Ovis aries: one gene and its partner. Each later gene encodes a partner of the first gene's protein in a complex. Links are inferred from orthologs where the notes say so. Each region holds a gene or a part of one and is shown on either strand. Other genes may lie near its edges.

Region 1 (4,247 bases):
AGATCCATGATTTAGAAATCTACATAGCCAACAGAAGCAATGAGATAGTGCTATATATTAACCATGTAAAAGTCTCCAAGACATACTGTTCAGTGGGAAAAGGCCATTTGCCTAGGAGAATGTTTTGGAAGGATCTTCTACAACTGACAGCTCATGACTGCTGACTCAGTGGACTCATGAGACCAAAGAATAAGAGAGACACCAACACAAGCAGAAAAACTCTTAAAACCACGCGGTAAGTGCAATGAGAGAGAAATGCACAATAGAACAGAGAAGCCGGGAGGAGGCAAACCTAAGGCAGCTCTGGGAAGATGTGGGAGTTTTAGTCTGGAATAGCTCCCAGGAGATGGTGATCAAGTTAAGATAGGTAGGAACCAGGTAGAGAGGAGGAGAAAGCACTCCAAGAGGACGAAACAGTAGGAACAATTCATGGAGGCTTGAAAGCTGTATTCAGTGAACCATCAGTAGGTTGCTACATATCAAAACAGAGATAGGGATTGTAACAGAGGCTAAAGAGATAGGCAGGGTCCATCAGGCCTTCTTTTGTTATATTAGAGAGATTTGAATTTTTTTTATGTGATGAAGAGCCACTGAAGACTTTTGAGTAGGACAGGTGTTCTAAAAAGAGATTAGTTAAAGTGTTAGTCACTCAGTTGTGTCCGACTCTTTGTGACCCCATGGACTATAGCCCATGAGGCTCCTCTGTCTATGGAATTCTCCAGCCAAGAGTACTGGAGTGGGTAGCCATGCCCTTCTCCAGAGGATCTTCCCGACCCAGAGATCAAACCCGGGTCTCCTGCATTGCAGGCGGACTCTTTACCCTCTGAGTCACCAGGGTAGCCCGAGAGGACAGTGAGACACAAGGCAGAGAGGACGGATAGGAGGTGACCACCATCATTCCAAGAAGATGAACGTCTGAAAGGAAGGCTGGGATAGGCTGAGAACAGTGAGAATCAAAGGAGGGGAGGAAATCAAGGCATATCAGGTTGGTACAATCTGTAGGAATTAATTATGGGATGGATGCAGGTTGGGGAGTGAGAGTTGGGGAGGAATCATGCTCAGATGCATCCAGAGTTCTGAGATAAGTGCAGGAGAGATGATGAGCTGACTCAGAAGATCGGGGAAACTATACCTCAGGGAATACAATGATGGTTACAAAAGGCATCTGGTATTGTCCTTCTGCTACTGTCTTAAAAGGGATTCTAGAGGGATTTTCTTTCCCTTGTTCCTCCAGCCCTACACTTGCATTACTGGCCTAAGGGGATACTCACCAGCTGGCCGTGTCTATCATTACAGCTAAGTCTGAGAATTCCTGATTATACTTAGAGCCAGTGGAGCTGCTGACACAAACAGTCATTAGCAGACGACCCTTTTGGAACAAACTATGCTTTAAAATGTAAACGGTGGAGGCATTTTCCTTGCGTTGTCCAGAAAGAACTTTCTGCTGCCTGAGCCTGGATTAATCATGAGAGAGTTCGTCAACATTCCACTGGTACATATTCTTACTTTGGTTGCCTTCAGCGGGACTGAGAAACTTCCAAAAGGTTGGTTTCAGCACTCTTGTCTACTGTTGCCTGTGGCCGTTCTAAGGTGCATGCGTGTGTTCCTATCGTGACTGATTCATGAGGGCAGGCTTGGGTTTTACTTGGTGAAGTGGGGGTGCAGTATATGGAGAGGGAGAAAGCTATATAAATAAGCAATTGATGGATGGTCTCCATTCTACTGCTATCCATCCCCTGCTTAAGCTCGACAATAAAAAGTTTAGCCATTCAGTGCATACAGAGTCCTCACTTGTAAGGGAAACATTAACAGGTAAACTGCAAGTTATTGAGGTCAGTTTGTTTATGCGTATGTCAAACTTCAGGGTGGTCTAAATGGATGATGAAAACCTTTTTACATCAGGTTTGCCAGGAATGTATCAGTCCCACTCCCAGACATCCAGAGTGTTTGCTTCTGAACAGAAATCGCTTCCATTTTCAGTTTCAGCTTTGCAAAACTCTTAATCAATATTTGAGTTCCTCCCAAATAAAAATTAGAGAAAGACGCACACAAGTTGCCTATGAAAGTCTGAAGAACAACGGGTTCTCCATAGGAGGCTGGAGTCATGATTTGGTTTGGCAAGAGACCGTGAAAAGTTTTTTTTTCAGAGGCTTTGGAATGTACCGGAAATAACACCACCTCAGGGGAAAGGAAAGCAACTTAAGAAACTGACAAACACCTGTTGCAGTAGCAAGAATGTCCACAGTTTCTGGCCAGCGTATTATGAAACTGAGACTAGTGTATTTCAAATCAGGAAGAAAGACAGGAAAATAGGTGATCTGCAAAGTGACTGAGGGCGTCACTGAAGTCTTTTTACAAAGACATGAGAAAGCAAATGGAGGAACATTACAAAGTTTTCTGATTAAATGGACTGTTGTTTAGCAGCCCAGTCATGTCCAACTCTTTTGCGAACCCATGAACTGTAGCCAGTCAGGCTCCTCTGTCCGTGGGCTTCTCCAGGCAAGAATACTGGAGTGGGTTGCTGTTTCCTTCTCCAGGGCATCTTCCCAACCCAAGGACGGAACCCTCGTCTCTTGCATTGGTAGGGAGATTCTTTACCATTGAGCCACTAGGGAATTAAACACATTACAGTAGAGTAAAGAGAGTTCTGTGAATTTATGACACATTCAAATGAATTATTTTCCCTTCATATTACTTCACCAAAGAACTGAATGGGTTTGTATTGTATAGATAAGCGAAGGTAGTCATACTGTATGTTAGTTAGAAAACATAGCGTAGATTTTGTGGTTCACTAGAATTTTTGGAACCACAAGGTCAAAACTCACATACTAAGAAGATAGAGCTTTCTTCACCAACAGTCTGATTTCATAGATTTATGTTGTTTCATTGCTTTCTTTTTCTATTTTATCTGCACAAAAGGGTGTCTTTCAATGCATTTAAACTTTTGTCAACTAATACTTTAAGGTACCTCCAGATAAAAAAGAATCTATATCTTTTCAAATAGCTAATAATAGCCAGAAAGACTTAACACTGGCTTCAGATTATTTTAATGCTTCCTGATCATACAATGGATGTCCGGAAGGGCAGCACCTGGATGTTTGGACTTATGGATTGTTGTAAATTTATTTGTGCTATTCTAAACCATAAAGTTACATATAAATGACATGGTTAGATGCTAAAATGTACTGAAATCCAGTCTTACAAGGAACACAACAATTGATTTTCTAATTCAAATTAGAATCCCATGCATGAGAAAAACCAAACCCAACCTCCTAATTTCTATCTAGAGATGATTTGTAGTTTTCAAACTTTATAGGTAAAGCACACTGTTTCTATTTTGAAAAGTCACAAAATATAGTGGCATAAACGTAACAAAGCCAAAATCCCGAGCTCTAAATAAAATAGCCAGACTGTTACCCTAACTTTGTTTATTTGTTTATAGCTTATTTACTGCTTTAATTAGATTGTAAACTCAAAAAATTAAAGCAGTATGTTTGCCTATCCTACTCAAAGAGAGTATTTGAGTATTATTCAAAAAACTAAATTAATATGGGTTTAACATCAGCCTTAGCAAAAACACCAGGCCTGGAAGAGCAAACATTTATTAACTACACTTACCAGTTCTGAGAATACACACTATCATGAAAATGCAATCCTTAATATTTTACATGTTGAAGCGCATGGAATATGTTGGTACAAAGAACACATTAATATGTGATTATTTTAGTACTATTAACAGTAATGAAATTATGCTACACAAATTTGTGTAGATATCTATTGTTTTCTCTATTCTTGGCAGAAGGCAATAATGCGAAGAGGTTTTTTAGGTGGTACCCCCTTTTCCTAAGTCCTTTATTGTGAATGAATCAAGACATCTGCACTATAATATATCATAAAGTAAACTGACACAGTTAAAATAGTGCAAGAGTATTCTGTGGACTCTTTTCCAATCATCAGCATATGATTTCTTCAAGAAAATTAATAACCAACTTTGTAGAATAGCTTATTATTATTATAGTTTTAGTTTAATTTAGATTCCTAATGTTCAAAGACAAAGGGAAAGTTCACTGTCTTTCTGAATCATTTTTTCTGGTGATACTTTAAATCAAACCACAAGGAGGAGGATTTTATAAACAGTCATGTATGAAAATAGCCAACATTTCATTGAACAGTTGCCTTAACCACATTTTTCAAAAATATTTAACACTTTATCAGGAAGTACTAAGTGTAGAGTGGGATTTTCTATA
Region 2 (4,240 bases), on another chromosome or scaffold:
GCCAACTGGGGTCAGTCCTGGAGGTGCCTGCGGTTCTGAGTGTTAGATCCTCCTCTGTGAGAGGCAAGACCTGGACAGGATGACGACACGCATCCGCGTTCCTACCCGTGCGGACTTCAGGGTAACAGGACACTGCAGAGCCTTCCCCCTTCCTCCCAACCAGATCCTCAGCCGCCTCAGGGTGGGACCCCGGCTGGGGCACACTGCTTCTCTTTGCTTTTCAGAGTGCCGGCCTGTCTTTGCCACTGGCCCCGGGGCCTCGTCGATGCTCCTAAAGGCGTGAGTGTTGGAGGTCGTCTCAGAAACGGGGGCTGAAGTCTGAGAAGTGGACCCACCTGGGTTCCCAAAGAACCTGGGCAGCTGACCAGGGGATGTGGGCGGAAGGACGGAAAACCCGAGGCTCAGAGCTCCCCCGCTGCAGTGGGGGCTCTCTCGCGGGCTTTTACGGAGCAGCCTGGAGGGATGGACCTCCCCAACCCTAGCAGCCAGTGGCGGGGCGTGTAGGTCTGGGACCAGACTCAAGACTGGGGCACTGTGGCCCCACTAACCGCCGGGAGCAGTCTGCACCAAAGTCCTTGCTGCCAGGGGACAGGAATGAACCCCCCATCCTCCTGCCTACGGAGCAGGGGTGGTCTGAGGGGTTGGAAGGGAGCAGGGAGCAGGCAGGAGAGCTGGGTTGGAGAGTGAGGCGACGTCCTGGCCAGAGCTGACTGTGGTCCGTGGTGTCCGGTGACAGCTCAGTGGTGGTGGGAGGGACAGGTGCGCGAGGGTGAAGCCAGCTTAGAGGAAGGCACACTGGCAAACGGGGGCCCACCCGGGGCGGATGCCTCTTCCGGGGGTCGTTTCCTTTGCTTTCGGAAGGGGGGACCGCCTCCCCAGCCAACCCCACCGGGGTGAGCAGCGTCGGAGCCCCAGGATCCGAGCCTCGGCAGCGCGCAGTCCCAGAGGGCAGGGCGCTCAGGTGGCCCCAGGTGCCCGGGGGGCGCATCGCCCAGGCCGGGCGCGGGTGGGGCAGGACCGGCGGGCTGGCACCTCGGCCCCGCCCGCCGCGTGCGCCGCCCCGCCCGCCTCCCCGCCGGCCGGCGCACGGCGCTCGCGGAGCTATTTTGAAAGTGACCCTGGGCCGGGCGGCCCGCGGGGCGGCGGGCGGGGCGGCGGGGCGCGGGGACCATGATAGAAGATGACCGAGGCGGCGCTGGTGGAGGGCCAGGTCAAGCTGCGGGACGGCAAGAAGGTCGGGGCCGCGGCGGGCGCGGGGCGGGGCGCGCGCGGGCGGCGGCTCACGCTCCCTCTGTCCCCGCAGTGGAAGACTAGGTGGCTGGTGCTGCGCAAGCCTTCGCCGGTGGCAGGTGAGCGGGCGCGGGGCGCCGGCGCGGGGTCGGGGGGGGCCCGCGCGCGCGCGCGATCGGCCGCCGGCGGCCTCCTGCGTGCGCCCGGTAGGCCCGGAGCGCCGGCCAGCTCGCCCGAAATAGCCGGCGGCGGGCGCCCCGGGGCGAGGGCTGTAACCGGAGAGCGCCCCGGCCTCGGCCTGCGGGGACCCTCCCGGCGCCCCGACTCGGCCCGGAGCCCCTACGTCGTCTCAGACCCCAGATCCCTCGGCCGACCCCGCCTTGGCAGGAGGGCTGACCAGACCTCAGAGGGACCTGGTGGGGTTGAGGGGGTTAGGAGACCGGAGGGCTGAAAGGGCCTGAGCCTGTTCTGGCCCCCTCCCCCATGGCGACGCAGGGAGCATCCCAGAAAGTCCCCGCCCAGTGGGGACTGAGCTGTGTCACTGACCCCAAATCCAGATGGGGTGTCCGGCCGGATTGACCCCAGGCGCCACCCCCTCCCCTTGCCCAGGTGGAGCTGAGGCCTGACTGCCCTGGAACAGAGAGAGGGGAAAGAGACCTCCTCTGGGGATGTGTCCTGGGAACCCCCCCAGTCCCAGCTCCCTGGGAGGAGGCTGGACAGGCACGTGGAGCTGGGCATCTCCAGCCTTGGTCCTCAGCGAGCGGCGGCGACCCAGAGGCTCTGGGCCGGTTGGCTGCAGCTGTTCCCGGAGACAGGTGCCCTGGAGCTGGCCCAGGCCCCCAGGGGTCTGTGTGCACTGCTGGGGGCGTGTGTGCACGCTGCCTCACACGTGCGAGGCTGTCGGTCTTCCGGCACGCCTGGGGGTGTCTGGCAGTTCCCAAGGAGCTCCCCTCCTCATCCGTTGGCCGAGCCGGCTCTGGGAGCAGCACGGTTGCGGTTGCGGGGCAATGGCCTGTGTTTGGCCTTGGACACACTCTCCTCCTACCTGGAACTCAGCGTCCCCGCCAAGGGGCCTGAGCCCTGCACCCGCTTCACTGAGCTCACCCGTCTCGCAGGCCCAGCCCCGTGCCTGGTGCTGGGGGATCCTAGTCCCAGGGAGCTCAGGGAGGCCTGGCGGGGCTAGGGACTGGGAGGCAGTGGGATCCCTGCACTGGCCAGGCTGTGGATGGTCAAGGTGGGCACAGGCGGTGTTGACGGAGTGGGCAGGGGCTGGCTGGGGCCCGGGGCGGGGGCTGCTTGCAGGGAGGCTGATGAGCTAGGGCCTGTGCGGGCCTCTGGGGAAGGTGACCCACCGGAGCGCAGCCCCAGGCGGGCCTCGTCCCCCTTGCTGGGGCGGGTGGTGATGTGCAGCCCCTGGTGGTGGGTGTCGTGTCTGTATCCTAGAGAGCTCGGTGAGGTCTGTGCCCTGGCCGGGCCCGGCAGACACACCTGTACGCCGGGGCCCTCTGGCACCGGCTCCTCACCGCCACAGATTTTGAGTCTATAAATGGACTTGTGGCTGTTGAGCCTTTCTTGGGTCTTTCCACACGCAGCCCTGCGGGAGGGGAGCTTGCCACGGGCCTAAGCGGAGGGAAGAGCCGCCTCTCCAGGGCGCCAGGGCGGCGGGGCTGGAGGGGATGTGCCCAGAGAAGAGGGTTAGGCGCTCCAGGCAGGACCTGGCCTGGGGACTGGGCGGGAGGGGACTGGGCTGGAGGAGGGTCCATGTGCCCCTCTGGGTTGCTGTCCGTCGTGAGCCCTGCGCCCCACGTCCTGGTCCCCAGAGTCTCGGGACCCCCACTGTGGTCCCCCATCCAGTCCAAGGATCTGTCCCCACTCTCCTGTCTCTCCTCCCGGCCCTTAGCCGATGAGCCGGCCCCTCTCCGGCTCGCTGGGGGCCTGGCTGTGAGGGGTGCAGCTGCCTGGTCCCCCTTATCCTGAAGACCGGCTCCCTCGGTGGACCTGGGTGGGGGGTAGGCCCATGCATGTTGGGGTCTCACTGCGGAGACTCCCTAGATCCCAGCTGCAGCAGAGGGGAGTCTGGGAACGAGAGGAGGGGCCGCCCTGCCTGCTGTTCGTGAAGACCCCAGGGCTCTTGCTTTTAGAAATCATTTCCCTCCCAGGTGGGCCCAAGGGAAGCAGTAGAGGGTGTTGGAGACTGGGCAGGTGGGGGACACAGAGTGCCCCTCTCCACTTGGTCCCTTCTCTGGTGTTTGCGCTTTGTTTTAATCAAGACCACTTATGCTCGTAATAAAGTTTAGGTAATCAGAGGGAGGGGAACTACTATGGGCAGAGGGGACGGTCTTTACTGAAGCTTCAGTGAGAACTGCCCCCAGGGGTCCCCTTCTCTGTCCTGGCCCGAGGATTCCTGTCTGGGTCCTTTCCCCGGGCCAGGCCCCCGTGAGAGGAGGGTGGTGTGGCCCACCCCGGCTGGCCCTGGGCAGCCTCTCTCTGCACCTCCCTGGGTTGAGGCTCAGGATGCTGGGAGATGCTCTCCCGTGGTTGGGCTCTGGAGGGTGGCCCACCCATGGGCGAGGCGTGCAAAGGGCTTCGAGCAGCCAAGGCAGCTCCCCGGGCACTGGCTCCGAGGGCCCTGCTGCAGGGACTCCCGTGTGCACTGCCGGGCCCGCGTTATTCTGCCCAGAAAAGCCGGCAGGAGGGACCCTGAGTCCTGGAGCGGGCAGGGCCTTATAGACAGCGGGGCTGAGAGCTGGTGACCCAAGGGCTCTGGCCCTAGCTGAGTGGGTGTGGTCTCCTGACTCCTCCCCCGCCCCCCACTGTGTGCTCCGCCCTTCGGCCAGCAGGGTGTCCACGCCCCGCTCCTGTCCTGGGGAGGGCCGCTATCTACGCTCCCTCCTGGTGCTGAGTTCCTGGAGGGCAGGGGCCCTGACTCAGTCTCACAGGTGATGCTGGGGCTGGGGCCTGCCAGAGGACACAGGCTGGGAGCCCAGCTGCTCTCAGCAACACCTGGGTC

What was found.
Region 2: the proteins of MUSK (region 1) and DOK7 are in contact, whole or in part, in a crystal structure (PDB 3ML4), measured with the Mus musculus proteins. The link is inferred for Ovis aries from reciprocal best matches to the Homo sapiens genes MUSK and DOK7. Residues at the interface, in NP_035074.2 of Mus musculus: Leu547, His548, Pro549, Asn550, Pro551, Met552, Tyr553, Gln554, Arg555; in NP_001335203.1 of Mus musculus: Leu154, Ser155, Asp156, Leu157, Arg158, Arg159, Tyr160, Gly161, Gly172, Thr173, Arg174, Ser193, Asp197, Val200, Arg201.

What each region holds. Positions count from the first base shown.
Region 1 is NC_056055.1:12,707,941-12,712,187, reverse strand, and holds the start of MUSK (muscle, skeletal receptor tyrosine-protein kinase), read left to right. Parts: upstream 1-1,351; 5' UTR 1,352-1,465; coding exon 1,466-1,544; intron 1,545-4,247.
Region 2 is NC_056059.1:116,134,682-116,138,921, reverse strand, and holds the start of DOK7 (protein Dok-7), read left to right. Parts: upstream 1-1,172; 5' UTR 1,173-1,180; coding exon 1,181-1,234; intron 1,235-1,303; coding exon 1,304-1,349; intron 1,350-4,240. UniProt on the Homo sapiens protein: Probable muscle-intrinsic activator of MUSK that plays an essential role in neuromuscular synaptogenesis. Acts in aneural activation of MUSK and subsequent acetylcholine receptor (AchR) clustering in myotubes. Induces autophosphorylation of MUSK.